2 linked regions of the Kluyveromyces lactis genome follow. The protein of the gene in region 1 interacts with the protein of each later gene in a biochemical or structural test. Links are inferred from orthologs where the notes say so. Each region holds a gene or a part of one and is shown in the gene's direction. Other genes may lie near its edges.

Evidence for each region.
Region 2: of the proteins of SST2 (region 1) and GPA1, one has a biochemical effect on the other in vitro, tested with the Saccharomyces cerevisiae proteins (2 studies listed by BioGRID, with this or other methods). The link is inferred for Kluyveromyces lactis from reciprocal best matches to the Saccharomyces cerevisiae genes SST2 and GPA1.

Annotation. Positions count from the first base shown.
Region 1 is NC_006040.1:894,365-898,838, forward strand, and holds SST2 (GTPase-activating protein SST2), read left to right. Parts: upstream 1-1,646; coding exon 1,647-3,794; downstream 3,795-4,474. Other genes in the region: cyclin-dependent serine/threonine protein kinase SGV1, read left to right, coding at 1-528; GCD11 (translation initiation factor eIF2 subunit gamma), read right to left, coding at 3,932-4,474. UniProt on the Saccharomyces cerevisiae protein: Desensitization to alpha-factor pheromone. Is involved in regulating the signaling pathway for responding to mating pheromone.
Region 2 is NC_006042.1:2,405,037-2,408,667, forward strand, and holds GPA1 (guanine nucleotide-binding protein subunit alpha), read left to right. Parts: upstream 1-1,560; coding exon 1,561-2,904; downstream 2,905-3,631. Other genes in the region: cytochrome c1 heme lyase CYT2, read right to left, coding at 1-795; SRX1 (sulfiredoxin), read left to right, coding at 3,245-3,631. UniProt on the Saccharomyces cerevisiae protein: Alpha subunit of the heterotrimeric guanine nucleotide-binding protein (G protein) that mediates mating pheromone signal transduction.

The DNA of each region.
Region 1 (4,474 bases):
ACTCAGAACATCCCCAAAGAACCTATTCCGACTGCGCCTCTTCCAAAAGGTCCTAAAAACAGTATACCGACTGGACCAAATAAATTACCACCGAATCCTCGTGATTCATATGCATCGAAATATCCGGCTGAATCAAGGTTCGGTGTGAATACAAGAATTACTACCGAGTCGTATAATGCCGGGAAACGTTACCGTAATAGAGGAGGATGGGAAACTGGTAGAGACAGTCTAAATTATAATAACAATTATGCTCCACCTGCTGATCGTTCGCATCATCCTACTATACAACGTCCTTCTGCTCCTAGAGGAGGATCCTATCCTAACAGATATCAAAATCAGGACTACAATACCTCTAGAAATACAGGGTATAATCAATACAGCCAAGCTGGTGATCGGAGAAGTTACAGACCGGGAGCTTCTGAAAATCCAGGGACCATTGGCCATGGTAGCTCACAATCTACGCAAAAAGATTCCAAGTCATCGCATTCCAACAATGTCAAACCAAAAGACGTTGCAGACTACTATTGATTAAATTTAAATTGGGCTTGAAACTATGCTGGTACTTTTCTACTTTTTAAACCCAACTTGACATGTTTTTTCCCCAAAGTGGCCTGCTGCTTCGAGATTGTTAAATAGTATATAGATAGTTTACGAGGGAAAGTGCGTTTGTTTCTCTTCATGTATCCCAGAAATTCATCCATTAAAGTGCTAACCAGATTATGATATGTGGTCTGTGAATGATATCATTACGTATAAAAGGGAAATTATGGCTGATGAAGATTTTTTGCTGGTATAAATTCATTGTTGATGTATCCAGATTTGGAAACCAAATCAAAATTACGCACGTCAATAATCACCAAGCAGCAACTTAAATATACTGATAAACAATTTAAACATGGTCATTAAGTTATGCACTTTCCAGCAGAATTGAACCCTGGGGTAATTTCTTTGTTGGCGGTGCATCACAGAAATTCCTCGAACGTTTCAACTGATGCTCGATGTGTTTGCTATAAACAATTCCAACAAGCAAATAGGTACCGATTTGCACAAATAATTAAAAGAAGGCAAACAGTGCCTCATTTTCACACTGTGTTTGAGTATCGATTAGAATGTCGGTATAATAATTCCACCGATCTTATCATAGCTTTATTGTTTCATTTTCCTATTTCTTGGACATTTTGAGGTTTGTACCGGAACTTTGCATGTTTCATGTCAATATTGCCCAAAAAACACGCTGGAAGGGAAAAAGGAAAATGATTTGATCACAAACAATTCAACATTGTTTCAAAAGATCCGTTACTGGGTGAACCAGGATATAACCACGCCGTGATAATCTGAAACAAGCCATTAAGATCATCAACATTTGCCTTTATATATAGAGCACCAGGAATGCTTTGAGCCGTTCGATACAAATGTTAGCAACCCTACTTCTCGAGAGGTGATACTTGCAGTTGGTATTTATGTGGATTGTACGTTACTGCAAAACCAAGAACTGACAACTTCGAATTTATTCAGACGTAAAGACTGTTGGCTTCGCTTCACGAATTAAAGGGGGGTTTAGCTGTATTTATACCAGGAGGTATATGCATGTTGTACTGTCGCGCTCTTTGTTATTTTTGATTTACTTCTTCTTATGAATAGATAATATGGTCTCGGAGTCAAATAAAAAGGAAAAAACGCTGCATGAATTGTTTTCTAATAGCTTCGACCGCTCACCCGATGGCTCAATATTAACTCATGAACTGAAAACAGTATTTTCTATTATGATAATATGTCTTCCGCTGGAGGAAAAACCAAGATCAAGTAGCAATCGACTCTTGAATTTCGCTAAGAAAAGTTTTCCGTTCACATTTTCAATTACGGAGGCTATTGATCTACTACAGGAGCTGGAGCTTAATGTGGAAATGAATTCCACTAGTATCTACATCAGTTATTCCATCAAACCAGAACTGGGATACCAGCTATTGAACACTTTTATGAAAGCTAAATTACTACATACACCTGCGGATAAGACAAGAAGTCGGCCAAAAGAGAACATTCTTTTGCAGCCGACTCCTAAAGGGGTGGCCGTAACGTGTGATTATGCCAGGAAGTTTGCATTGAAAGAGCTGCCTCCAATATTAACTTCAAACTTCAATACGATGAATCTTTTCAAGTTCGAGCGAAATACGTTAGATGATTCTGTCATTCAAAGCGAATACTTCATAAATCTATTGTTCAACAAGGTCATGGGTCCAAAACCTAATATATGGTCCCCAAAAAATCCAACAGATAAAATTCCTAAGCTCTCTGACTTATTGGATCAAAGAAGCTCAGATGTTTTCTCATTTGAAAATGTGTCACCAGACTTCGCCGTAAACGAGCTTGGTGAAAACCCTAAAAATAATGTTTCAGGAAATTCACAGTCTCAACATACTGAAAACAATCTACATTCGTTAAACTCTCGACAACTTGAAGATGAGGACAGAGAATCTCCGTTTGCATATAGATTTTTTTCAAATCCAGATTCTGACTCTCACATTCAATATTATGTGAGTGATTGTGGGCTTCGATTGTTCGGGAACAAAACTTTTGGAAAAGGAATGTTTATTGACTACTGTTTCACCACAAAAGCCCTTTGGCAATGGTTGATGGAATGTACTGATATAATGTACCCTAAAGAATGTGTTGCAGTTGCAGCACTCTTTCTGAAATACGGCCTAATTACACCAATCTTATTACCTCCCAGTCAAAACAGCAAGAAAAAGTTTCTAATTTCAAAAACAGCACACTATACATTGACCCAAGCCGGTTGGGACGTAATTCAATGGGGAGTAGATGGGCTACCCAAGATTCCGCATTTCATGGACGGGGTTAAAATCGGAACGGATACTGAGAATTATGGCGGCGTTAATTGCAGCGTAAAACTCTCCAGTCGTTCACTCCCAGGTAATTCTCAGCTCAAAAGCGGACATGATTTTGGAACCAAAAATGTAATGGTGTCGAACTATGATGTAAGCTCGGATTCAAGTTCGAGCTCAGGTACTGGGGACGATAATTATAATCCTGACGGTTTAAAGTTGCTGTCTCTCAAACAAATTCTGGCTGATCCTGGGATGCGATATCTTTTTAGAGAGCATCTTTGCAAAGACATGTGTGCAGAAAACCTAGACGTATACTTTGAAATAACGAAGTTTTTAAAAAGAATGTCGGTTCTGCGAAAACTCATTGAGTCTCGAAACCAGAGCGAACACAATAAGATGGATCTAAGGGAATGGAAAACTGGTGGTAGTACTAAACTGAAAGATACAATTCAATCAGCTCTTTTAAAACAAACTAGCGAATGCCTTTCGCTGGTTTACCATATTTACTCCTCTTATATTGCACTGGGGTCTCCGTATCAACTTAATATTGATCATAACGTTAGAGAAACAATTACTGGAATAATATTCCACCCTCAGTCTCCAACTAAAACTGCGTTCGACACTTCAGGCAAGGAAAATTGTTCAAGAGCCATTTCGGATGCATCTGTTAATAGACCCTTAAGCCTCGATCCTGCTGCCCGGAAGAAATGCGTGGAGCATAAAGTACAATCCCATAGTAACACGTCAATGCCATTGGCGCCGACACCTCTTAATAAGGGTACTGAGTCATACGTCATTATTCATGCTATATCAATGTTGAAGGATTTGTATCAGTTACTGGAAAAAATCAGAAATACCGTATTTATCATGATGAAGAACGACTCTTTGCCCAAATTCCTGGCAACAGAATCGTATAGGGACGCAATTTCATTAATAACTGCTAACAAGTAGAACCTAGGCATTTCATCATGAAGAATAAAGATATTCATCTTGCAAAAGAATGTGGCCTTTTCTACCAAGAAAATGGAACATTAATGTGACAATATATACATATAGACATATATAAAATCATTTAGTTAATTTACAGATTAAGCGATTGGTTCAAGAGTGGTACCCTTCTTGATAGTAGCCCAACCAATTAAACGCCAATGCTTTTCGATACGTCTAGATAATGCAATCTTTTCATTAACTTCTGTACATGCAGGGGAAGTTAATTGTAATCTTGCCATATCGGCTTTGACGGCAACCACACGGGCACCAGTAGCGGTGGAACCGATGTTCACCATTAAAACTTCATTTGGCTCTAACTTTCTAACCTTTGCTTGTTTTTGACCATCGGTCTTTACACCTAATAGACGACGCAATAGGAAGTAGTTAATTTCGATATCGGTGTAGATAGATGGCAAATGGCCCTTAGCACCAACGACTTGACCCACTAGACGATCTGCTCTACATAACGTTGGATCGACCTTAGTACCAACACCAATCAAACCACCTGGAACGGCGAATTTTAGGTCGTTGTGTTCAGCAAATAGGGAAACGATATTGGAGAAAATTGGCTTACATTGAATCTTACCATGATCATCTTTAGTGACGATACCTGGTCTAATTTCGATCTCATCGCCTAATTT
Region 2 (3,631 bases), on another chromosome or scaffold:
AACGCGTAATTTACAACCTTCAAAAGTATTCACTTTTGGTCTAACGTCCAAATATATTGGAGGAAGGTGGTTCTTTTCAGGTTCTGGATTCGAATAGAAGTCGATGACATAATCTATTTGTTTCCCGCAGCGATCGACGACCCAATCGTGCCTATCAAAAGGTTTGGTCATTCCAAGGATTGAGGATCTAAACCATGCTCTTGGGGTTAACTTCTTTGAATCGCCTTTGAAACTAGTCAATTTGATGCCACCACAGACATCTCCCCCTTGTCCGTCTTCCCAAATTTTGATATAATTCCATACTCTTTCATTAACGGAATTGTGGATGGGAACAACGGCTTTCATATCCACAGCTTCGGGATCCCAATTTTTTCTCTTCATTGCCTCGAAGAATTGCTTCTCTGATGGATAAACCCAATTATCCGATGTTCCGGTTCTAGGAATGGAGGATTTCTCTCTCTCTGTTGGCAAATTAACAGCTGTGGTATATTTCGGGTGTTCAGGTATCTCATCACTTGAACATTCGACATCCTCAGTGATGATCGATATGATTGGTGCTGGTGCTGCTGCAACTGCAGCACCGCCAGCAGAGCCATTAACGGTCTGTAGATGGTTTTTCAGCCATACATCCTGGGAAGAATGGTCTACCGGACAAACTCCTGACCCTTCAGAACTAGCCGGTGGATGATTTGGAGGTAGTGCTTTTGCTGATTCATTCTTATTATTAGTGCTCTGTTGTTTCAACCACACTTCCTTCGTGGAGTCATCCACAGGACACTTAGGCTGTTCTGGCATTCTTTTGCACTCCACAGTTAGCTTCTAAACAGTCGCGAATCCCCTTTAAGCCGCCAACGATGTTGCTTCTATATTTCGAACTATTGCGTTCAAGCCTATCCTGATGAAATGCGCATGAATAAGCTTTCCTGTATTCGCATGTTCTGCATACTTTTCCATTTCATTCATTTCTTTTCAATTGATATCAAATTGATGAAGTTTCAGAATGAAATTGATATCCACGGGAGATGACATTTCATTACCCGAATGTGCGACAAACATCCTTGTTTCTCACGTGACTTGACCTCCAGATGGAGACAGCTCTCCGTTGTACATAGCAATCGATCTTGCAGCCACCGTTAACATATTGTGGTGCAGTAATTACCTGCAGAGCGACTTCAACCTAAATCTGAAACAGGGACGTTGCTAGGAATGTTTTTTAAAAGGAAGCAAACCCTTAAACAGTGTCAAGTGCTTGTTTGTTTTTTACTTGCTTGTTTTATTTTCCAATTGAGCTTGATTTTAGTTGTCGTCTCTGTGAGATTTCTAGGGTATCTGAGTTGAGGTTCTTGACTCAAAGCTTCATCATGTTTTGAGGTTCCTATGATAAAGGCTATGCAATGCTAAATCAGGAATGTAAAGTAAATATTGCTACGTTACCTTTTAATATTAACATATATATAGACGGATTGGCCACATCGTGCCAACTACGGCGAAAACGTGAACTATAAAGGAAAATGAAACAAATGAAAGAAACTGACGCTGGCCGGCAAGAAATTAAGCATTATGGGTTGCGTCGCAAGTACAGGAAACTATGAGAACGAGGATGATCCCTTCATTCAAAATAAAAGGGCAAATGATCTCATTGAGCAAAATTTACAGCAGGAAAGGAATAAGAATAAGAATGAGGTGAAGCTCCTTCTATTAGGAGCAGGAGAAAGCGGTAAATCAACAGTGTTGAAACAAATGAAACTCCTACACCAAGGCGGATTTACCCATAGAGAACGAATGCAATATGGACAAGTCATCTGGGCAGATGCAATTGAGTCGATGAGAACGCTAATCTTACAAGCAGGCAAGTTGGGCATCGAATTGGATAGTGATTTGAAAAATGCACATTCGGGGCAATTGGTGAATACGGAATTACACCAATGCAAAGAGAAGATCTTCCGTGCTAACACATTGGACCAGATTGATGCCAGAATGGCGGGTGGTTCAGAGTTCCTAAACGAGTATGTGTTGAAATATAATGGCATAGGATCTAAGAAGAAGAGGCAAACCACGCTTGGATTCAAGGAATCAAATGGTGCTGATCCTGAAGAAGAGGATGAGACAGACGCTTTCTTGAGTGAAAAATTAGCCGGGACAAGTTATACTGGTTCCTCGGAGACTTCAGAGTTGAAACGTATAGACCAAAGTACCAACGAAGAAATTGCCTATGCAATCAAAAAGCTTTGGACGCAGGACAAGGGGATCAGACAATGTTTCAATAGGTCAAGTGAATTTCAATTGGAAGGATCTGCATCGTATTATTTTGATAACATTGAAAAATTCGCTCGAGTTGATTATGTTTGTGATGACATGGACATTTTGAAAGGAAGAATTAAGACCACTGGGATCACCGAAAACAGTTTCAAGATTGGACCAAGCACGTTCAAAGTTTACGATGCTGGGGGACAACGAAGCGAGAGAAGAAAATGGATCCATTGTTTCGAAGGTATTACTGCTGTGGTATTTGTAATAGCAATTAGTGAATATGATCAAATGTTATTCGAAGATGAAAGGGTGAACCGTATGCACGAATCGATAGTATTATTAGATACACTATTGAATTCTAGATGGTTTGCCAACACACCTTTCATACTATTCTTAAACAAAGTAGATATTTTCCAAGAAAAGGTGAAGAGATCTCCAATCAGAACATGGTTCCCCAATTATCCAGGGAAACTGGGTGATAGCGAGACTGGACTGAAATATTTCGAATCATTATTCTTAAGCTTGAACAGAAGTAACAAGCCCATCTACGTACATCGAACTTGTGCAACCGATACACAATCAATGAGATTCGTTCTAGGTGCCGTGACAGATTTAGTAATTCAACAAAACCTAAAAAAGAGCGGCATCTTATAAATCCTTTAGGTGTAATATGTCAGGTAACGCGCACACATTACATATAAGTTGTACATAGTTAAGCGATGAATAAGGTTCTAGATCTTTTAGAGGGTAACCTCAAATATTTGTCAGACCCCATCACAAAGGCCAGGTTAAAAGTGAAAAGGCAAAAAAACAGGGTGTTTCCGGGTAACGAAAGATAGCAAGCAAGTCTACTATTTAAGAACTTCAACAAGACACATAAGTACCCTTGCTTGACGAAGTTCTACTGTACTGACAATATATAGATACTTGCAGGATATAACCGTTAATCAAGAGCCATAAAAAAACATACACACCCAACATACCATTACAGAGAATGTCTATGCAGACGAGTTTGTGCAAGGAAAAGAACATCCCATTGAGCCAGATCATACGGCCCATTCAGCCGGTCCTAGACCATGCAAAGATCGATGCGATGATATCTACTTTCAAGGGAACACCGAAGGCGTCTCGAACAATGACCGAGTCACAAGCTGCAGAACGTGTTGCCACATTACCCGCCGATCAGCGTCTACCTCCAGTGGACGTCGCTGCCGTCCGTTACCCGGAAACAGGAGAAACAAGGTACTTTGCATTCGGCGGCTGCCATCGTCTCCAGGCGTACGACAAATTAGCCTCGGAATCCCAGGAAAACGATATCGCGGTCCGTTGTCGGTTGATGCCCATGACACCAAAACAATTGAAACTATACGTTGGAGGATCT